3 linked regions of the Rhinolophus ferrumequinum genome follow. The protein of the gene in region 1 interacts with the protein of each later gene in a pairwise test. Links are inferred from orthologs where the notes say so. Each region holds a gene or a part of one and is shown on either strand. Other genes may lie near its edges.

Region 1 (7,561 bases):
TGAGGCATCCTTTAATTTACAAATGCAAGACACATACTCTCCAGTGTCAAAAATAACACCTAATAATTATGCCAAATCATATTATCAATCCACTCACAAATTCAGAGACAACAGGTATGAAAAAGAAAAGTTAGGTTGCTGTGCATGTCTCAAAACTAAATTTAAACTCAGATCCCACATTCCGAACACAATTCACTCACAAAACTTGATATGTCACCTTTCAACCTGTGAAAGTAATTAGCCTCCATGCAGGGCCACCTGTCAAAATGAACATTTCTATTCCTGGTCAATTTGTTCTCCTGAATGAACTTGATCATGTTCGTGATTAATATCAACCCTAGATATGTAGAACCCAGGGGAGTTAAAGCACCTACCGCATTCAGGCAGCTGACTGCAGGGAGCTGTCTGGACCTCTAGAAATGGAACCACCTGGGTTAGGGGAGGAGGCAAAATGGGAAACCCCAAAGAGCAGTGGGAGGAAATGTACACAGTAGCTCAAATCCGGGACAATCCCAATCTCCAGGACACACGTCACAGAATACCGCAGCTGGAAGGGTTCCCACATGTCGGCCCATGCAGCCCCTCCCCACGGGCAGACCCCCCACTAAATTCCCCACAGTGTCACCCAACACTAACTCAAATGTTTCCAATGGCAAAAAGCTCACTGCCTTTCTAGGCGGCCTGTTCAACAACTTTTTTTTTAGCAAGTTTCCCTCTAAGTTAACTCAAAAATTGATACAGTACCAGTGTGTGGCTCTAATTCTAATTAGAGCCAAGGAGGTACTCTATAAATGCTGAACAAATGAACAGTCAATGAACGAATGGACAGACAAAAGGAACTGCTTGAAATTTTAAGTTTTTAAGAGCCATGATGGCTCAAGAAAATAAATCGAAAGGATTTGGTTCCATTCACCTCATGTTTCTTAAGCAGGATGAATTACGCAGGACTATGGAATAAAGCGTGGCTTGATGGAAGCAGCTCCAAGTAAGAGGACTCAGACTCTAATACGCGGTCTCCTGCTGTATCCCTCACTTTTCACACCTGTAAAATAAGCAGGCCAGACTCTGAAGGTCTTGCTTTCAGTTAGTAAAAATCGGCCACCCTGTGAAGCGCAATAAAGTGAAGCACCATGAAACAAGGTACGTGGCATATAGTTGTCAGCAGCTGCACTTGGGAAATGCACTTGATGCCACACCTGCCAGAACTCCTGACTCTATCCTTAATCGTTAGGTGACCTGGGGGGCGGGGAGGGGGTGCCGGGAAGCAGTAATCCTGAATCTCAGCTTTGGGGGATGGGGAATGAGGATTATAAATCCCTATCTCACAAAGGTTTGGGGAGGGTGTCATCCAAGGAATTCCCTAGCACCTTGTAAACTCTGCAAACTTGCCAATGTTAACATTCCCTCCTGGAAGCAGTGACTCACTTCAGGGTGCTTTCACACCTCTAACCTCACCGGATCCTAGGCAGCTCTATCAGTACCAAAAGCCGTAATTACTCTCCCCATTTTTCTTTTATCTTCTTTGTAAACAGATGAGGAAACTGAGGCTCAAGGTCACAGAGCTCAGAAAGCCAATCCAGGCATCTTTTCACTCAGTGACAGATTTCTCAACTGAACCTCAAAGGACTTCCTGTGCTATGCCTGAATGGAATAAAATGAAATTTCTTTTAAAACACTCTGCTAATCATACTTTCATCAAATCAAACTGGTATTTCCGTATCATCCCAAATTATTTAGATTTGGCTTAGTAAAAATAGTAACTAAGGTTACTTAGAACTTACCCTTTCTCTCAGGCACTTGACTAATGTGTCACATCCAGACACATTTAAAACACACAACAACTCTATGTGGTAGGAACTGTCATTGTCCCCATTTTACAAATGGGGAAACTGAGGCACGACTACATCCAGGATTGAGATGCAGGCTGACTGTCCCCAAACCCCAATCATCTTAGGGCTCTAGTATTATCCAAATCCCATTTTCCAAATGGCCATACATTCTGCAAAGTGCTTCCATACACACCAGACCTATGGGACAGGGTCACCCGTGTTCTCACACGTCTCAGGAAACCGAGGATAAGGGATAAGGGAGCGGCTAAGGGATGTGTCTGAAGTTACCTAGCAAGGACAGCAGAGGAGCGCTCGGGACGCCAAATCTCATTGTCTGCCGCAAGTCTCAGGTTCCTTTGCATACGTGTTAACGGTGAGATGGTAGGAGACGTCCCGTCATTCTTGAAAAGCAACCATCCCCTTACTGGCCTCAGTGTCAACGCAAAGTTGACAGCGTGACCCGGCCCTGTCTCCTGCGCCCGGTGCGGGTTACCGTCGCCGAGTCAGAAGTGGGTCTGGGGCCGAGGGCGAGCCGGACGGGCCCTGCCCCTCGGGTGGACGGTGAGGGCGCACGGCCCCGGGAGGCTCGGGCGGCGCGGGGTCCCGGGTCTGATCCAAATTCCCGCACGCCCCTGCCGCCTTCCTTGCCCACCAGTACCCGCCACGGGGGCGTGTCGGACGTGCCTCTCGCCAGGGTCTCAGCACCCACCTGGCTCAGTTCGGCGTGGGCTGGTCGTCCCAGACCCCCCTTCTCTCCCAACTCCGCGCGCCACGTGCCCTGCCTCAGTTTCCCTCTCCTCGAAAGGGGTGCACCGAAGCCAAGGTGCTAACAGAGGCACAGCTCAGACCTACACGGTTTCCAGGGGGCGGCGCGCGCCCTCCCCGCCCGGATCCCGGACCCCGGCCCCGCCCAGCCGCGCTGACAGCGACCTACCTGCGCGGTGGCCCCCGCCGCCACCCGCCGGGGCGCCCTGGGGTCCCCCGGCCCGCATGTGTCCCGCCGGATCCTCCAGCTCCGCGGCGGCGGGCGGCTCTGTGCGCCCGAGGCCAGCGCCGGGGCGCGAGCGCCGGGAGGGACGGGAAGTGGGGAGGGGGCGGGCGCGCGGGCCGGCGGCGTCCCCCTCCCCCGCTGGCCCTGCGGCTCCGTTTCCAGCCTCCTTTCCTTTCACACGGGCGCGCACACACGCACGCACGCGCGCACACACGCGCGCGCCTGGGGCGGGGCCGGTGGGCCCACAGCCTGTCTCCGGACGCTGCAAGTTTGCTGTTCACTCCGGCTCATTTCTGGACGACGACCAGAGGGGAAGTGCGGTGGGGGAACCGGTGTCCAGGGAAGGAGCGACGGGAGGCCTTCCGGGTGGGTGTACAGGGCGCCTCCCAGATGCGAGATTAGGGAAGTGACCAAAGGGTGGACGGAAGAGAGGAGGGGACGAGAGGGACTGGTTTTTACAAGATGGGTAGTTGACTGAAACCTGGAGCAAGAGGTGACCTACCACATGAAGTGGCAATGCCAGCACTGCCGTGGTATGCTGTAGAGGAAGTGTCAGAGGCCTGGGGAGTTGGAATGTTAGAGGGGTTATCATGTAAGTAAGACTGCTTACCCACTCCAGGAGGGTGCGGACCACACACCCTTCACCAGGACTCTGAGAAATAACTTGTGGCCCAGCACCCTTGGTCACTCTTCTCTGTAGGTCAGAAATTACAGTGGAAACTGTGGCCTCTGAACTGGAATCCTTAAATGCAGTGGGGATAATTGGTTCCAGGATGGCAGGGGCCAAATGGTGGCAATGAATCACCAAAGGCAAGGGGGACATGGTGTCTGTAATGGATGGCAGAGTCAAAGCAGCCATCAGATTGGTGACTCCTGCAGACCGGCCAAGTTGGCAAGCCAGTCTATGCTGCTCCTAGAAGTCAAACAGCTGGGAAATCTACTAGCTCGTACTTAGTCTGTGTAAGCAGAAAAGTTCTAGGTCAAGTGAATGAAAGCCTGACTTGAATTCCCACACAGAGAGATTCGGCCCTTCAATCAGTTCCCAGACTAGAGTCAGTTTACAGACCAAAAATTAATTAATGGAAATGTTGGCCTCCTTGAGGAAAGACACTGCCAAAAATTTACACTGTTAATCTCTTCTCTAGCCTTCCCCAAAGGGTTGTGGCCTTTTACCAGGGTGGCTGTGCATTGGAGAAAAAGGAATTACTCAGACTTTTCAAGAATTACCAGACATTGGCTCTGAACTGACACTAATTCCAGGAGACCCAAAACATCCCTGTGGCCCACCAGTCAGTCGGGCCTTATGGAGGTCAGGTGTTCACAGGAGTTTGAGCTCAGGTTCGTCTCACAGGGGGTCCCTGCACCCATCCTGTGGTTACTTCCCCATTCCAGAGTGCATAATTGGATAGTACTGAGCAACTGGCAGAATCCCCAAATTGGTCCCCTGACCTGTGGAGTAGGGGCTATTGTGGTGAGAAAGACAAAGTGAAGCCGTTACAACTGCCTTCACCTAGGAAAAGACTCAACCAAAAGAAATCCTACATTCCAAGAGGGACTGAAGAGACTGGTGCCACCGTCAAGGACGTGGAGGACGCAGGGTGGTGATCCCCACTACATCCCCGCTCAACTTGTCTGTGTGGCCTGTGCAGGACACACATGATTCCTGGAGAATGACAGTGGGTTGTCATCAACTTAACCAGATTGCAAGTGCTACTCCAGATGTGGTTTCACTGTGTGAGCAAATGAACACCTCCCCTCATACCTGGTGTGCAGCTATTGATCTAGCAAATGTTTCTTTCCCTACCTATTAGGCCACCAGAAAAGCAGCTTTCTTTCAGCTGGCAAGACCAGCAATACACTTTTACCATCCTACCTCCGGGGTGCCACAACTCTCCAGCCCTAGGTCATCATTTAGTCAAGCAAGACCTTATCGCCTTCCCTTCCACAAGACTTCACACTGGTCTGTCACATTAATGACATTATTCTGATTGGACGGAGTCAGCACGAAGTAATAACTACTCTAGGCTGATTGGTGAGACATTTGTATGTCAGAGGGTGGAAAATAAGTCTGACAAGAATTTAGGGGCCTCCATGCCAGTGGATTTTCTAGTGGTTGAGTGGTGTGGGGCAGCCCTTCTAAGGTGAAGTATAAGTTGTTGTATGTGCCCTGCCTACAACCAAAAAAAGGAAGAACAACGGCTAATGGTGCCCCGTGGGTTTTGGTAGCAACATATTCCTCACCTGGGTGAGCTACTCAAGTCCATTCACCAAGCGACCTGAAAAGCTGCTGGTGTTGAGTGGGGCCCAGAATAAGAGAAGGCTCTGCAGCAGGTCTGGCTGCCATGCCAGCTGCTCTGCCTTTTGGGGCAGAGGACCCAGCAGATCCAGTGGTGCTTGAAGTGTCAGGGGTACTAGAGACGCTAAGGGAGGATTTGTCAGGCCCGTATGTGTGAATCATATCACAGGCCCTTAGGATTTTGGAGCAAAGCCTCTGTGGATAACTACTCTCATTTAGAGACTGTTAGCCATGAACTTTTAACCATGTACCACCACGTTACCATGCTACCTGGGCTGCCCAGTATGAACTGGGTGCTGCCTGACCCAAAGTGGTAAACTTAGGCATGCGCAGTGGCCCTCTATCATCAAATAGAAGCGGTAGATACGAGATCAGGCTCAAGCAGACCCTGAAGTCACAAGTAAGTTGCAGAAGGACGTGGCCCACATGCCCACGGTCTCCACTCCTGCTACATCACCTTCTTTTGCCCAGCCTGCACCTGTGGCCTCACGGGGAGGTCCCTATGACTAGTCGATTGAGGAAGAGAAAAGGCAGGCGCAGTTTACAAATGGTCCCGCACAATAATCAGGCGCCACCCAAGAGTGGACGGCCACAGCACTGCAGCCCCTTTCTGGGACATCCCTGAAAGACCGTAGTAAAGGAGAACCCTCCCAGTGGGTAGATCTTGGAGCAGTGAACCTTGTTGTTTGGTTTGCTTGAAAGAAAAAATAGCCAGAGGTACAAGTGTGTGACAGTTCATGGACTATGGCTAATGTGGCTGGATGGTCAGGAGTTTGAAAGGAACATGATCGGAAAACTGGTGACAAGGAGATTTGAGGAAGAGGCGTGTGGATAGACCTCTCTGACTGGGCAAAACAACCTGAGGATATTTGTGTCCCTTGTGAATGTTCACCAAGGGGTGACTCAGCAGAGGAGGGTTTTAAGCAGAAGGATGACCTGTCCTGTGGGTACCAGTCTCTTTCCCCAGCCAGTCCTGACACTGCCCAATGGGCTCAAGAACAAGTGGCCATGGTGGCAGGGACAGGAGTGATGCATGGGCTCAGCTACACACATTCCACTCACAAGGCCAACCTGACTATGGCCACTGCTGCGTGTCCAATCTGTCAGCAGCTGAGACCAGCAGCATGGCACCATTGCCCAGGGTGACCAGCCAGTTTGCTGCGTGGTGGCAGGTTGATTCCATGAGAACACTTCCATCATGGAAGGGCAGCGTTCTGTTCTTACTGGAACTGACACTAATGACTGAGTACAGATTTTCTCTCTCTACACACAACGCTTTGGCCAAAACTACCATCCATGGACTTACGGAATGCCTTATCCACACAGCATTGTTTCTGATCAAGAAACTCACTTCACAGTGAAGGAAGTGTAGTGATGGACCTATGCTCACAAAATTCACTGGTCTTACCATGTTCCCTAATTTCCTGAGCAAGTGGTTTGATAGAACAATGGAATGGCCTTTTGAGGACTCAGTCACAGTGCCAGCTAGGCGCAATACCTTGCAGGAGGCTCCCTGTACATGCTCTGAATCACTGTCCAATATAAGGTGCTGTTTCTCCCATAGCCAGGATTCAGGGGTCCAGGAACCAAGAGATGGAGATGGGAGTGGACCACTCACTCTTAGCCCTCATGATCCACTCGCAAAAGTTTTGCTTCCTGTTCCCACAACTTTATGTCCTGCTGGCCTAGAGGTATTGGTTCCAAAGGGAGGGATGCTTCCACCAACAGGCACACAATGATTCCATTTAACTGGAAGTTGAGACCGCCACCTGACAACCCAGGCTCTCCACCAGATGCTGGACTGCACGCCCGCAGGGCAGCAACCTTCCTTCCACAACCTCTACACCAGCGCCTTTCACAGCCCTACTCTCTCAGCTGGAGACGCGTAGCTTCCAGGTTTCCTGCAGCTCCAGCTCAGCCACCCATGTCATTCTGGTTAAAGATCTTTCTCAGATTCTTCAACCACCCTCTTTAGACTTTTGCTTCCGCAGCATCTCCCACAATTGTGAAAGGCCTAACTTCTATAATATGTGCCTTATGCACAACTCACAGTGGTTCTGCTTCTCCAATGGAACGCCCACTTACAGACCTACTCATTGCAGATCTCTGGCATGGCTACTACACAAGTCTTTCTTTAGTTTTCTGACAGCTCTCATTCCAGCGCAATGCCGTATTAATCAGGACTCTTTTCATTGCAACTCAACAAAACCAGTAGACTTTAATTTAAGTGAAAAGAATATTGGTGAGGATACAGGGGACTCTGGGGGAGTCCACAGGCATCATGGAGCCACTGCTCTAGGAAGATGAGAGGCAACTTCTGAAAAGTCAATTGCTCTCCTCCCTGCTTCTTTGTGCAGACCTGCTCCCCAGTGCACCCACGTTTACATGTTTCTAAGCCAGCCACATGGACGCCTGACCTGGAACCAACTGTAACTCTAGAAGTGA
Region 2 (7,948 bases), on another chromosome or scaffold:
TGGGACCAGATGTTTCCTGCCTTTTCCACTGACCTTCCCTGCTATTTCTCCTGCTACAGAAACAGGTCCTCCCAACAGCTCCCTGCATTCCTTCAGCTCTCTGACAGTCATTCACAGGCTCTCAGATATATGCGGAGGATATTCAAATTTGCTGATTGATGGTAAAACCAACCACTACTGAAAAGGAATGGGGACTAATTGGTAGCTGTGAAGAATACTAATCTGTTTACACAGATTGGAAGATGCCCCTGAAATTCAAATCAACTTTTGTCTCCCAAGATTCTTCCCAGCAGGAAAGCCCTTCCGTCTAAACAGCTTTTGCTTACCATTAAAATAATTATATTCTACACACAAGCAGACAATAAAGAAATGAGCAGGGAAGTAGAAGGGGGTGAATTATTAGAGCAGGAGAGTCAAAAAAAAAAAAAAGGTTTTAAGTCTGAGCAAACACACAATGTTTCCAAGTACAATATGAGGAACTGCCCTAAAATATTAAAGAGATTTTGTGACCTCATGTATTCTTCTCCATTAAAGAGTTCAGCTCATTTTCACCTTAGTTCTTTTAGCTTTTCCACAGACACATTAACTTCAGGGCTTAGGCATGTGTAAAGCCCTTGGTTTTGGCCCCACAGAGCTTCCATAATAAAAAAACAACATGTGAAATTGGATCCACATGTGTTCCACCCACAAGCTGGGCTCAGCCGTATAGTTTATTCTGTCAGACAGCAGGCTGTTGCTCAACTGGAGGAGGGGACACCAGCAATCACCCTCCAACTATTAAAACAAAATTAACCATTCTGGTGTTAGCAGGACAGACACCAGTTCACCAAGAACAGGAACCTGGCCTTCAGTACCTCAAGTTCAGTCTCCCGTCTGTTGATGTCATCCGTGGATTGATTTAACTTCTCCAGTTCTCCCTAACAAAGAAAAGAGGCAGAAAAAAGATTTAAGGGATTTGTCTTTTGTTTCCAAGTGACTCAGCCCATGACCTGCAAAACTACTCCAGCACAATTTGGGAAGAAGGAAGTGTCAGTATTCTCAAGAAAAATAGTTGAGCCTTGGCTAGAAGAGAAATGAATGTCAGCATTTCTGAAACCTTTGCTTGATGGTGTCCCTTTTGAAAATGTCATACGGTCATAGGGATTTTCTTAGGAGGTTAAATATTTATTCCAGGTTTGTGCCTTCAGGTAAACCCACCTGTTACAAATCATTTAAGGGCTGATATCAAAATAGTACCTTCTGCCTTACAGCAAGAACTTTGCAGAAAAGAAAAGAAACAAAGCCAAGCCAAAAGTATAAACCTAGTGAAATGATTTAAATCGAGGGCAGAACACTGGCATTAACTCATTGGTGGTTGAGTATTTTTGTAGAGAGATGAAAATCTTTTCAAACTGCCAATTATTCAATCTCCCTAGGTGTTTTTAAAAAAACAAACAAAAACATTAGCTTTAAAAAAAACTACCTTTAAATAAACATTTACAAACTAAAATTTTATAAAAAGCACCCATCATGAAGTCAACTCATTTTACTCTGCAAACAAAGGATCTTGTTAACAGAATTCCTGTACCAACAAAACAAGATACTAGTCCAAACTGATTAATTTAATTAATAAAATTTCTGATACAAAGATTTTTTTCCACCTGATCTTTACCTTGCCAATCTGCCAAAACAATTCATTTAAACTGCAACAGCTGAATTAAATGAGCTTTTAATTGATCTGTGCACTGAAAAACCAATTAGGGCGGGTTCCAGGAATTGAAAGCATACTTAAAAGCAATATATATTGTGTACACACACAGAGAGAGAGAGACACACGTGTGTGTGTGTGTGTGTGTGTGTGCATGATTTATGGGAAGGTAGGAAAAACGAGTCTTGGACTTCTGCTTTTTGCTTAGAGGGTGAAAAGGTTAAGCGGTCAACCCTAGATCTTGGCTTGGAAATTGTTTTTTAATCATCTCCCTTACAAATGGAGGTGCAGAGGTCCAGGCCAATCCCCTCGCCTTCTCCCCGTGTCAGCTTTGCGCATCAGTTGTTCCTGATTTCTGTTCACACCCGACCTCAAAAAAGGAAAAGCTAGGTTTTAAATCATTTGAGGCCAAGTGGAGGGTTGAATCAGTAGTGACAAAAAGAAAAAAGGAGAAAAAAAAAAACCCTTCAGTTTGGTTACAATCAAAGGAGAGGAAAGATGGCTCAAGCCGGGCACCTCCACCAGGTGAGGACTCAGAACCCAGGGCACCAGTGCCAGCCCACGCTGCAGGGGCGGACAACGCCCACCCGGCAGCCGACCCCTCCTTCCAGGGCCAGGAGGCCGTGCAATGCCAGCGGTGTGGCGAGCCTGGCCGGGATACCCGGGATACCCGCGTGGCGCCCCCGCCCCCTTTTTCCCTTTGTTGCACATCCGCCCAACCGCTGGGCACGCTGCAGCGATCCCCTGATTCTGCCGCGGTCTGCGGGGGGATCCCGGTAACATATTCAGGCCGCATCCATGAGGGCACTGCAGCCTCCCGATGAACCCAGTGAAACAGTATTCAGCCTCTCTCTTCTTGCCCCCGGACCTACGTCGCCAGCACCCCCACCCCGGAGCGCAGGCACTGGATGCCGATCTCCGCGGCGGCCCTCGCCAAGCGGGGATCCGGGGCGCCCTCCGCGCGTCCTACCTGAATCCGGGGATCCACCTCTTCTTCCTCCTCCAGCTCCTGCTCCATCCCCTCTTCCTCCTCTTCCTCCAAGTCCCGGGCCGACTGCAGGAGCTCAGCCGGCTCCTCCGAGCGGCTCCGCTTCAGCGCCGCGTCCATACCCGCAGCCGGATCGCGAACAGCGCAGCGGGCTTCGGGACGTTTGGGAGGGTGGGCGGCCGCCGCAGGCTCGGCCGGAGCCCGCCGGTCTCAGCTCGGCACGGTCTGGGAGCCGCAGCCGACACCAGGGAGCCGCTCCGGCCGAGGCGGAGAGGAGGAAATGGGAGCGGCCGCCCCCTTTCTGCCGCGGCCGTCAGCGCAGCGGCGCCCGCTCCGCCCTCGTCCCGCCGGGGCCACCCTCCTTGCTGCTCTGACTCTCACTCCTCCGCCGGTCCCCAAAACCCAGGTCTCGTCACAAAAACCCAACTCTCTAAAAACCTCTAGCGTGGCGAAATAGGAGGGCCCTCACCCCCATTTTAACTTAACAGACCGAATATATCACAAAGTACCCAATGTTGGCCGCCTACTTTTGGGGCACTGTTCTCCCTCCTTCCTCATCTAAGGCAAATTGACTATATGGAAGGAAAGTTTGGGGTATTTCCATTCTCTGAAGTCACCTTTAGAAGCCTGTACTCAGTGGCCGTGAACCAATTTCAAGACTCACTCAAACCCCTGTCTGTAACTGCCCAAAGCACGTTTCTCCCCTTGGGTGAACCTTGGGAATTGTATTCCCTTGAAGATTTCCTCGGAAAAGGGAACAGAAACGTATGCTCACATAGACACAAAAGTACAGAGGAGAACCAGCTGCAGCTCCATGCATGGATCACTTTTCCAAAGGAATCCCACTGAGCAGAGTTCCATACCAAACACTTGGGCAGTTGTGGGATGGTCCTACCTGAATAGCTAGGAGGTATGGAAAATCCATGGATCAGAGGTGTGGGTGGGTGGGCACAGCCTTTTCAAGGAGGTGGTAAGTGTAAGTCCTGTGAATGGGCACGTTCCCTCCAAGGATTTCTGAACTGGTGAGGTTTCCTGCCCACCCAGAACAAGTGGGCAGCCAGAGCTTTCCTGGCAAACTCAACATCACAAAAGGCCAAAGAACAGCATGTCTGTGCTGTTATAAAATGTCAGGGCTACTGTGATGTCAGGGGAGCACAAGGTGAGGTGACCTTAGCAAAGCAGAAAGGACATTGCCACTGGCCACTGCTAATGTCTCCATCATTACAAAATGCAGAATGTGTACACTTTCTATATAGAGGCTGTGGCCCATCTGCTCTGAGTATGGAGGACAAACTTGCTTGAAGAAAGAGCTTCTTTCTGAGAGCCTATCATTAAAGCCACCTTGGAAAACTTGCTTCTGACAGTTTCATCAGAAGCTAAATTGGGGTGTTATTCCTTGGGCAAGGTACCACCCTATCCACACTGGCGCTGTGGTCCACTGTCAAAGGAGATTTCATCCTGTCTCCTAAAGGTAAGTAATATAGGTGTGTGCCATAGATTTGTTTCTGAAAAGATCACACCTATTCGTTGTTCTTTAAATCAAGAGAGACTCAGCAATTCTTCAAAAAAATCTTCCGAAGTTCCCTGATTTTCCAGTGGTGGATAAAGGCAGGGACAAGATGGCCATTAAGGGGAACTTTGGGACACATGAGCCACCAATGTTTCCCTGGTGGCTTGGATTTGAGCCCATAATTGAGCAGGTTCTTCCTAACCTAGCTGTGAATAACCTGAGCGAGAGAGGTCAAAAACCAGAAACGAAGTCAGCCCTGACTCTAAATGCTTGTCAGCTGGTGGACCCCCATCTTCAACAACAACCTCTAAAATATATTTTTATTTATGCTAAGATCTAAGAGCAAGAGTGGTTCAAATGCCTCCACAGTATATAGGGAAACTGTGCTAGAACATCGATTTAGACTTCTGTTGTTTTATTTTTAGGAGACCTGGGCCAGTTATAGCATTAATCCCAATAGTGTTCTAAAGTTAAAATAAGAAAAACACATAAACCACAGCAGTACTGTATATTTTCTGTTGGTACATATATATGCATATAAATGCATAGAAAAAGGTCTGGTGGAAGGATTCATACCCAGCAAAGGGGATATTTATACCCCTGGGAAAAGGGGATAGAGAGGGGCTCAACATTGGCTATGATGGGGATCGGGAAGGCAAAGGGAACTTTAATCTCTCAATGATGTTTTTATTCTTTACAAGGAGGATGTATTTATGATTATTTGTGTAATTTAAAAATAAATTTAAAATAATACATACTGAATTAGTTTTCTGTTGCTGTATAACAAATTACCACCAATTTAGCAGCTTAAAACAATACTCATTCATCACCTCACAGTTCCGTAGTTCTGAAGTTCAGGTACGGCATGACTAGGTTCTCTGCTCAGGGTATTCAGGCTCAATGAGGATGTCAGGGTGTCCAGGCTGCATTCCTTTCTGGAGGCTCTGAGGAGAAATCCTTTTATGCTCATTCAGGTTATTGGCTGAATTCAGTTCCTTGTGGTTGTAGGACCAAGGTCCCTGTTTCCTTGCTGACGACCAGCCAAGGGCCAGTCTAAGATGCTGGAGGCTGCCTGCATTTCTTGCCACATGACCCCCTCCACCTTCAAAGCCAGCAACGGAGAATTTTGCTGGTGTTCAATTACATGAAATCTCACATTTCAATCTATTATTCAAGAAGAGCCCATCCCTTTTAAGAGTTCACTTGATTAGATTAGGTCCACCCAGAATAGTCTCCCATTCTTAAAGTCAACTGTGCCATCCATATACATAACCTATTATCATGGAAGTGACTGTCGTGCAGGGTGGCATGCGGGGTCTCTGGTCCCGCTCCCCACATAAGAACGCAGGACATGGTGAGGCCAAAAAGGAACACCCACGGAGCCATAGGTAGGGGAGTCATACCACTATAGTCTTGCTGGCGGCTGGGTTGGAGACACAGGAAGCAGGAGCCACACTGGCCGCAGCCTGCCGTCCTAACTGCAATCCGCGCTTGCCAGCCACCATCGTCTTGCTAGCCCCCATTTATATTAGCGTAGCCACAGCAGTTATATTAGTGGCCAATGGCTCACTGGTTACAGCTGATGGCCAACTAGCCACAGCTGATGGCCATCCAATCACAGTTGATGGCCATTTACTATCTGAGCCAGCACCTTTCCACATGAGGCCGAGAGCCTGGAAACTGCACTCCTGGCTCTGTCCCCACAGTGACTCTCCCATTATATTCACAAATTCCCCAAATTATACAAGAGCATGTTCATCAGGGAGGAGGAAATGGGCCAATTTTATAAATTCTGCTGCTTCACATACCAAGAAGGCAAGCCATGTAAATGTTTCGTAAGCCAAGCAAATGCTTGATATTTATTTTAGCTAGCCTATCAATCTGGAACAGTGGTTCTAACGGTGTGGGCTGGACACCCCTGGAGGTCTCCAAGACCTTTCAGGATGCCCTTGAGATCAAAACTACTTTCGTGCTAATACTAACAGAATATTTGCCTTTTTCACTCTCATTCTCTCACAAGTATGTATGCATGGGAGTTTTCCAGGAGCAGACACGTGATATCAAAACCGATTGAATGCAGACGATATGAGAATCTAGTTGTCTTCTACAAAGCCACACGTTAAAGAGTTTTGCAAAAATGTAAAACAGTGCTCTTCTCACTCTTTGTTTTGTTTTGAAAACTATTTCTCAATTTAGAAACTTGTTATTTTTCATAAAAAATACATTTATGTTAACACCAAACAGATTTATTATTTTTAGATGAATTAATAAAAAATGTTGTCTTAAAAATTCCATACAGTAACACCAGTAGTTATAACCACATAAACAACAGCTCTCAGACATCTCCAATCATTTTTTAAAAATATAAAGGAGTATTTGAACCAAAAAATTTGAGAATGACTGATTGAGAGGACCTGTGTGTTCTAAATTTGTTATCCTTTTTTATTTGTATTTCAATATTCCACTTCCTCCTTCATTCAAAAGATGTGTACCCCCACCCAAGACCCTTGTTGGACACTGGTGGAGTATTACAGGCACAGTACATTATTGCCCATTTTAAAAGACTTTAACAATTTTAAATGATTGAAGAGATGGTTAGATAAGGTGCCACTCATGTATCATGTCTTTGTTTATTTCCTAGGATCTGTATTTTGTCAATTCCTATGAAGAACTCATCACCCAATTATAATGTTGCTCCTTTGGAGGAAACGGTTAGCTTTTTAAGTGCTTTGTCTGTGATGTGGTTTCTGAGTGCCATCTCTGCCTGCCAGGCTTTGGGTGGGTCCCAGCAGTGCAGGGGCACACCTGTATCAAAGCCACACTTTCTCGGCAGGGGCCTGATCACTTTGTGCAGTGTGGGCAGTGAGGGGAGATGGCTGACATCTTAAAAATCTTGAGGACTGGGGTGGCCAGTTAGCTCAGTTGGTTAGAGCGCGGTGCCGTTAACAATAAGGTTGCCAGTTCAATCCCCACATGAGCCACGGTGAGCTGCGTCCTCCACAACTAGATTGAAACAACCCCTTCACTTGGAGCTGATGGATCCTAGAAAACCACACTCAAGAAAAAAAGTCTTTCTTTGAGGACTGCATTGCTTGGAAGCCACACTCTCTGTCGATTTATTTTTACTACCTCCTTGCAGTTTGTTTAAACCCGGACACTGGGAGTAAATACACTATATGTGTTTATTCCCTGCCCACCACTTCCTTATGTTGTAGATCTTCCTAGGTGAAAATCACAGCCTCTGTGCTGTCCTGGTGTCCATTTAAAACAGCGGGGTGAAATTTGGAAAGGAGGAGAAAAAAGGTATCTGGCAGGATGAGCCTGGGTTTACATATTCCTCTATACTGGGTCCTTATTTGTCATGCTCTGGTTTCTTTCATGGGATTAAAATCAACCTCTCCTTTTGTAACCCTACCTCCTCACTAATGTCACACATTTACAATCCAAGCCTCTCCTCCCTGAACTATAGAGTTAGCAGGTCTCCAGCCCAGAGACCCTCCCCTTATTTCGTTCACCCTTTGCAGTGGTGAGCATTTGGGGATGTCTCTATTTCTGTAGATGTGGAGAGAAATTTGAATTTGTTTAATAAACACTCACAGAAAATCCTGCCATGCTCAAGGGGTGTCACTTTCCGGTCTGTAGGTGAACAGAGGGGTCGCCACCGTGTCTAAAATGCTCTTCAGCCATTTTTGTGAAAAGAATAACTTGTTTTCCCCCAAACACACGAAAACCCAGGAGTGGGAGAATGAGAGGAAGTGAGATG
Region 3 (7,489 bases), on another chromosome or scaffold:
TCCCACTCAATCTTGGCCCTAAGACTGCATCGTCCCATTAAAGCTTGTCTCCTTAAAGCCTTAGTAGCTAAGCAGGCCTTGGACTCTTCTAGGAAACCGGGGCTAATACAAGTATAGATTGTTAAAATTAAGAATGGTTATTTCTAAGAAGAAGGATTACAGTTTTAATTTTTTTCCTTTTAGGTTTTATGCTCTTCCATAATATTCTACAATTAATATATATATTTCTTTTGTTAAAAGGCTAGAAAAAAGGTAACCTTAAAAAGGTATACGTTTGGTATATTCAAACATTTTTCAAGCATTCAAACATAAGCAAAGAGATATTTGCCTTCAAATCTTGTTTTCTTAAGGGTCAAAATCATTAAACAATCAAAGTGGTATGCTTTCACAGGATATTTTTAGGATCAATTTCAGTCCACACTACATTTGGTCTTTCTTACGTTATTTTACGTAAGTACCTGTTTTTAAAATGTTAAACCAATAAAATCGTATCATGTTTTGTTTTTCAATTAAAACAAAAGAACATTTAATTTCCTTTGTAACCATGACTATTAAAAATCCGAATGTTGCAACCCAAGTACAGTAGTAAAACAGCTGTCGCATAATACTGTAGCTAAAACAAAAATACTTGATAGGCCTTATAGACGTAACTTAAATCATCCGAGGTAATGATGGTCTTCATTTTAAAGTTCATTTATAAAATTATGCAATTGCTATACATGCTTTTCTGGCATCTAGAAACATTCGTTTCATCTATCCTTTAAAAATTCAGCAGAACATCGGAAAACATTTGCTGGCTGTATCAGCAAAACAGAACATTATCATCTGAAGAAACTACAGACTAAATATTGTACTGTAGGGCAATCACTATTAATTAGTGCTTTATCCTCACACATTTGCTTTCTCATTTAATCTTTCCAATAGCCCTAGAAGATGGGTATCATTATCTCCACTTTACAAATAAAAAAACCTGAAGCCCCTCAGCGAATAAGTTTGAAAAATACATGCCAGAACTGGGATTTGAATCGCATTTGTACTGCTCCATAGTGCTTTTCTCACCTTAGACATTATGACAGGAAAAAGAAAATCTTAAAACAATGTAATTTGTGAATAACTGATCATCTTTGAAATAAGGCAATAGTGAGCATTTTAAGTAGGAAATAACACATCAAGAACAGAATAGCTCAAACACTACATTTAGTGTCATTCACTATAAACTTAAAGCTTTTAAAACACACTTACACACATAGGAGGCAACTAAAATAAAAATGAGTAACTTACTACTCTCCGCGTATTTTAAATATATAAACTAAGCAATTCATCAGTGCGGATTAAAAATGAAGTTATTTCATACAGAAAACTAGAGTGCCAAAAAAAGTATACACATTTTAAGAAAGGAAAATGTTAAAATTGTTAATACTCAATATATACCAATAAAAAAAGATGAACACAAGTCACGTTTGACTTCTGCAATTACAAGAGGTGCTCAAAGTGGTTACCATCAGCGTCCAGACACTTCTTTTCTGATTAAGGCAAACTACCATTTGAGGCACGTTGAACAAAGTGTCCACCTGTATATATTTTTTTGGCATCCCCGGTATATAAAGTTAAGTAATATTGGAAGATAATTCTTGTCTCCTTAAGCCTAGATATAAGCAGAATTTAAATGACTTTATAGATCTAAATCTGATCTAATAAACCATGAATACTTACCGATAACATTATGTTTTGAACTGAAGGGATCTACAATTGTTTGATCTCTGTAACTTCGAAAACCTTGGATAATTACCTAATAAATAAATAAATTAGATTTTTCAGAACACACACAAAGAAATAACTTCAAAACATTTTTCTTTTGCACTTCTTCCCTTTCTGATTTCTCATTTAAACGCAAGAAAGAAAACTTTCAATTTCATATGAGAAAAATTCATTTTGGAATGTGGTAATTAAAAATCTATCAGTAACCCTTGCCAGTGCTTTTTTTTTTTAAGGAGTTTTAATTGGTAACCTGTTAAGGGAGTCAGTCCCAAAATCAAATACAAAAATCACTGTATAAAGTTCTCTGCCACACTGAACTTTACAGGAGAGTAAACGCATGAAGGAGGCAGACTGGCCCCAGCTTTCCCGACTCCAAGAGACACACGAGCCAGCGAAAATGAGTCGACATTACAAGAAAACAGTGATTAGAGCCCAAAATATACAACAGAGAAACTTCCCCAAAAGATGTGAATGGGTTCATCTTTGTGCTGGACCCCAGCGCGGGAAGACCATTTTGACAGAAGTAAACAACTGAAAGAGGAGGCGCTCCACATCTCGCTAGAAGCGTCCCTTTCATTTCTCCGCTAAGTCGGGACGGAGAAAGGCCCCCGGTTCAGCAGGCACCCCAGCCTGTGCCCCCAGAGGAGCCCCCCGGGGCGGGAAAACATCTCTCCACACCCCCCGCGAATGGCCAGCGCGGGGCTCTCCTCGCAAAAACACGCAGCTTCCCGGCCTCCGGCGACTCCGACGCGGCCCTCAGCCAGCTCCGAGCCCTCGCCCGGACCCCGGCCTCCCCCGACCCGGGCCCCCCCAGGAAAGCCTCGTTCCTCCACAAAAGCCGCCCCGCCGGCCCTTCCACACCTCTCGGAGGTCCTGCCTCCCTCCGACCAGCACCCTGCACACAGGCCTGGACTGCAAAGGGGCGCCCCAATTCTTCGCGTTCCCCGCGCTCCCGGGGCGGGGCCTCTCCCTTCCCCCACAGCCCCCGTCTAGCCCGGGCCCACTCAGCCTCGAGAGGTGAGAGGGCGCGGGGCGCGTCGCGACACCCCCGCCTCCAGGAGCGGTACTCACGACTCCGTGCCGGGGTGGGAGGAACGCACAGGCCTTACCTGCTTTATGTACATGTTTCCGCGCCTCTAGCCGGGGAGAAGGTTTCCCCACCGAGAAGCAACAGCGCGACCGCGGGGTCAGGTGAGGAGCCTACGAGACCCCTCCCCCGAAGCACCGCTCGCTCCCCTCCAGCCAAACAAAATGGCGGCGCCCGTGAAGGCGGGGTCCGCGCCTCGGACGGAACCACCCGCGCTTTCCTCACAAAGCGTAGGGGGAGTCGGGGCCCAGTCTGCTCTTTGCTTTTGGCAAAAGGAGCCTTCTACGGCTTCTGTAGGTGGATTTCATTTGATGCTTCAATTTGTAGTTGGACCTTTCCTGAGACTAGGTCGAAACTTCATTCAGAAAAGCCTTGATCGCGAAGTTGGGCCGTATTCCTTTCGATCGCGGAGGCAACGGTTGCGTCCACCAGCGGGGAAAGGTTCGGCGCCAAAGCCGATTGTGAGAATCCGAGAGCCAGTAACAGCGCGGGCCGGCGGCCACGTGTTCTCGGGCTGTTTAAAAATGCGGCCTCTGCGCAGGCGGCTCTGGTCCGCGAACCCGCAGACTGCTGGTGACATCGGTAATTAAGTGTGCGGTATCCCTGCTGTTCCTTCTCTCTCTCTCTCTCTCTCTCTCTCTCTCTCTCTCTCAACTTTTATAAACTTAGAACAGCCCTCACTGTCTCCGGACAGCCCACTCAGAGGACAGCCCCGCAGGGCCTTGACGCTCAAAAATGTGTTTTAATAGTGTGACAATACCGTGTGAACTGTTCTCTGCCATGTGCTATAAATGTAGGCAGACTTGGACAATTGCAACAAGAGATTTGTACAAGATTAATACATGTATTTTGAAACATCCTGAAAAGTTCGTGCTAGTGGCAACCCTAAGTGACTCTGATCTGTATCAGTCTTAGTTAGGGGAAGAACATCTGGTTAGAAATTGCATCTCTGGGCCTCTGTAAAATGACCTGCCACTCAGCCATTCAAGTGGGTTGGTCCTCCGCGCCCTTCCTGCTGCTGAGGGCAGTTGCGACCCTAATTGTTTCTAAATTGTACTATTTTTAATAGGAGTCTACTAACTTCATCCCTGTCCACACCCCTTGCTGCTGGTAGAGTCCCTTATCAACACCTGATCAAATCCTATCCAGCCCTTGACTTAAATAAACGAATAACAACCTCTTTAAAGATTTCTCCAGGATTAACATCTCTACATTGTCAATTTCTAACAGGGATTTTAGGCATATTAATACAGCAAAGTTTTTTTTTTTTCTTTTTAAAAGCAATTTATTTTACTTGATTCTGTTATAATGAGAGCCAAATTACAGCTTCTGAGAAAGGCATGGCAGGTCACCTTGGTGAGCTTCAGGGAGCTCACCTTTTTTTTTTATTGAGGAATGTTGGGAACAGTGTGTTTTTCCAGGACTCATCAGCTCCAAATCAAATCACTGTTTTCAGTCTAGTTGTGGAGGGTGCAGCTCACTGGCCTATGGGAATCAAACCGGTGACCTTGGTGTTTATGAGCACTACGCTCTAACCAGCTGAGCCAACCGGCCGCCCCTACAGTAAAGTTTTAAGCCTCCGTTTCCTAGTCTATAAAATGAGGATGACAAAATCACTTAATGTTTATAATTTAAACTAGGATTTATAAAATAATCCTATTAAATTGCATAGATATATAGATGAAAGGATGGTCACTAAAACATTTATGATGGTCTTCACAGTGATGAGATTTTTACTTCCTTAGACTTTTCCATATTAAATGAATCTTATACAATTAGTTTATATGATTTATACAGACAGAAAAAAAGATCAGTAAAAACCAAAAATATAAAAAGGTGATTTTGAGAATTTAACACACTTATTTATATTTATTGTCTGTCTCTACTACAATAAAAATTCAAGAGAAGGGACTTTATCTTGTTCCTGCTGTTTCTTTAGTAACTTGTTCCTAGAAAGTACTCAACTTCTATGAAGGAAAAACTGCAGAATGCAAAATACTTACCCCAGTACCTGACTCATTTATGCCAGCTATTGGTATTTAAAGACTCTCCATGGCCCCATCCTATTCACCTCCAATCCCTATGGTAGTATCATTCTCTTCTAGGAAGCATTTAATGAACATATGGATCTCCTTTAGCAGGGAGGAACAGTTCATCACACCCATGCCCTATCTGGGGGCAAAAGGACATTCCCAAAAGTAATTGACACCATGAAACAGACAACCACTACTCCAGTGCCTGGTGCTCATTGTCAAGCAAATGAATACTGCGGGCGTTTTACATCAAAACATCCAGTTGACAACAGCATCACTTCCTTCAGTTTTCACTTTTCTCCTCAACCCCACCTCTGAGTCCACCTGATCCTCAGATGCACTGGAGGGGATGGGAAGAGGCACTGATCATAAAGTCTCTTTAAGAACAGGATGTCTTTAATACCCAAAGCATAGACACACAATAATCATAATTCCTTATATTTGTGTAGTTCTTTATCCCCTTCAAAGTGCTGTCCTGTGTATGACTTCATTTTTCTCACTATCATGTTCTGAGGAACAAGGGTACTTATTATTCAGCATTGAACTGGAAACTCTGGGGTCTTATTGACTCCATCTACAAATTCCATGACTTGGGGACACACCGTTTCTCTGTAACTAAAATGGGACCATTCTCTGCCCTTCCAACAGCAGACGCAAGGACTGCCTCAATATGGTGGCATGAGCAGGCTAAGGGCTCAACTTTGGGAGTCCCATGTCACATCCCAGCTCTATCACTTGCTGGTTATACGACCTGGGTAAGATTAACCTCGTGGCACTTCCGTTTCCTCATCTATAAAGTGGGGATTATAATGATACCATCTATAAAGTGGGGATTATAATGATACTTACTAAAACTTCTGTGCAGAGAAATTGAGATGATTCATGTAAAACAACTTGCACAAGAAATAATGTTAGCTAATGTTCATAGTTTATAACCAAAGCAGTAAGCCCCTGGGAAAAAGACAACAAACAGCTAACTTGAAAGGTCAAGACACCAAAGGACAACTGACCAATGTTTCTGGCACCCCCTCATTATTCATTCAACAGATATTTACTGAGTATCTTTGGCATGAATGTCTGCTGCTGTTGGGAAGGGAAAAAAACTTCCCTCTATCCTCTTAAGTGATTGAGGGGCCTTCAAATTAAACTCAAACTGACAGATTAGCAAGAAAAAAAAACAACAGATTTCAATCATGCACAGTTCACAAAGAAATTTGACTCAAAGAGGTGTTTAGAATTTGTAGCTTATATACCATTTTCATAGATGAAGGGGAAGGAAAGAAGGACACTTACGGAAAAACTAATGATTTATTATTTAAAAAGGGGGCAGAGAAAGCACTTAAGGGAAAACAAGTGACTGTTAGGAAAGATATGCTAGTTTTTGTGACATTGTCTGTTTGGTTGTATATAGTGAATGTGGCAACATCTCACATCATTACAAGAGTCAGATTTCCCTGGGTGTTCCTAGGGAGGGCATTTATGACAATTGAGCTCTTTTGGGAGGCTCTGATTTTAGGCAGATAAAAGATTTCAGAACTCAAATACTTTCCCCTCAAAATAACTTTTATGCTACCGTGGCATATTCTGGACACCTCTAGGGTATCCAAAGTACTTGACACCTCCAGGTCTGAAGAACATGATATTACTAGTGTAGTGGCCCAACATCATGTTCTGCTCAACGATGAGATATTTAAGGACTTTTCAGACTATAGTAGGACAGGATTGACGTGGCCCCAACGTAAGACCTTGAATGTGAATTGCTGCCTGCACTGCAGGAATGCTCCCCTCCTTCCAGATGAAAATTAAAAAGAATGCATTTGCCATAGAGTGGCTGCATAAGTGTCAAAGGCTGTGTTGGTCTCTTCTAGTAAGGATTCCACATCCAATATGGCAACTGAGTTACATCTTGCCTAAGTGATGTTAGTCCACTATCATCTGACAGGATCCATCTGGTTTTTGCAAGGACCTCACTGATGAATTAAAAAGGGAACGTAATGGGCACCACTATTCCTCATTTTTTATGCCTTTGAGAGTAATACTCATCCCTGCCAGTCTGCCCAAAATGTGGTACTAATTCTAATTTACTATCTTGGCTGGGTTCAAGGCAGTTTTAGGGACTTCCGCTTGGCCTCTCCTACCTAATGGCTCTTAGTCCATAGATCTGGAAACTAATGTGGGATTTCTGTCAGTCGCTAAGAATATCAGTTGCCGTGGTCATGCACTCATGGGCCAGGGAAATGACCGTAAAATAAGTGTGGACCCGTTGCAATCAATGTGAAACAAACCTGGGCCAGGATTTCATTTATCTACTGGCTTTTGAACACCTCCATTCTATCAGGGGAGCCATGAATGTGTTTGCACTCCCCTGGTATCAATGTCAGCTCAGATCCTGTATCTAACAGCACTCAAAAGATCTGGATGTCCCCCTTTCCCCCCCAGGTTCAGTTGCTCTGATAACCTTTTAGGGTCAGATTGAAGAAATTGATACTGAATATACTTAAGGAAGGAATATACCATCCTCAGGACCCAATCTTCCCTGTAGTTGATGGGCTACGGTGTAAGATCTGGCACAGGTTTGGAAACTAGGTGAGGAGTTGTAATTTTCCATTGT

What was found. The genes of interacting proteins can lie anywhere in the genome.
Region 2: the proteins of DISC1 (region 1) and SH3BP5 interact in a two-hybrid assay, tested with the Homo sapiens proteins (2 studies listed by BioGRID and IntAct). The link is inferred for Rhinolophus ferrumequinum from reciprocal best matches to the Homo sapiens genes DISC1 and SH3BP5.
Region 3: the proteins of DISC1 (region 1) and SMC3 interact in a two-hybrid assay, tested with the Homo sapiens proteins (2 studies listed by BioGRID and IntAct). The link is inferred for Rhinolophus ferrumequinum from reciprocal best matches to the Homo sapiens genes DISC1 and SMC3.

The regions. Positions count from the first base shown.
Region 1 is NC_046310.1:25,365,182-25,372,742, forward strand, and holds the start of DISC1 (disrupted in schizophrenia 1 protein), read right to left. Parts: upstream 3,019-7,561; 5' UTR 2,822-3,018; coding exon 2,764-2,821; intron 1-2,763. UniProt on the Homo sapiens protein: Involved in the regulation of multiple aspects of embryonic and adult neurogenesis. Required for neural progenitor proliferation in the ventrical/subventrical zone during embryonic brain development and in the adult dentate gyrus of the hippocampus.
Region 2 is NC_046300.1:31,250,889-31,258,836, reverse strand, and holds the start of SH3BP5 (SH3 domain-binding protein 5), read right to left. Parts: upstream 3,033-7,948; 5' UTR 2,796-3,032; coding exon 2,658-2,795; intron 918-2,657; coding exon 855-917; intron 1-854. UniProt on the Homo sapiens protein: Functions as a guanine nucleotide exchange factor (GEF) with specificity for RAB11A and RAB25. Inhibits the auto- and transphosphorylation activity of BTK. Plays a negative regulatory role in BTK-related cytoplasmic signaling in B-cells.
Region 3 is NC_046299.1:16,764,220-16,771,708, forward strand, and holds the start of SMC3 (structural maintenance of chromosomes protein 3), read right to left. Parts: upstream 3,033-7,489; 5' UTR 2,883-3,032; coding exon 2,868-2,882; intron 1,790-2,867; coding exon 1,714-1,789; intron 1-1,713. UniProt on the Homo sapiens protein: Central component of cohesin, a complex required for chromosome cohesion during the cell cycle. The cohesin complex may form a large proteinaceous ring within which sister chromatids can be trapped.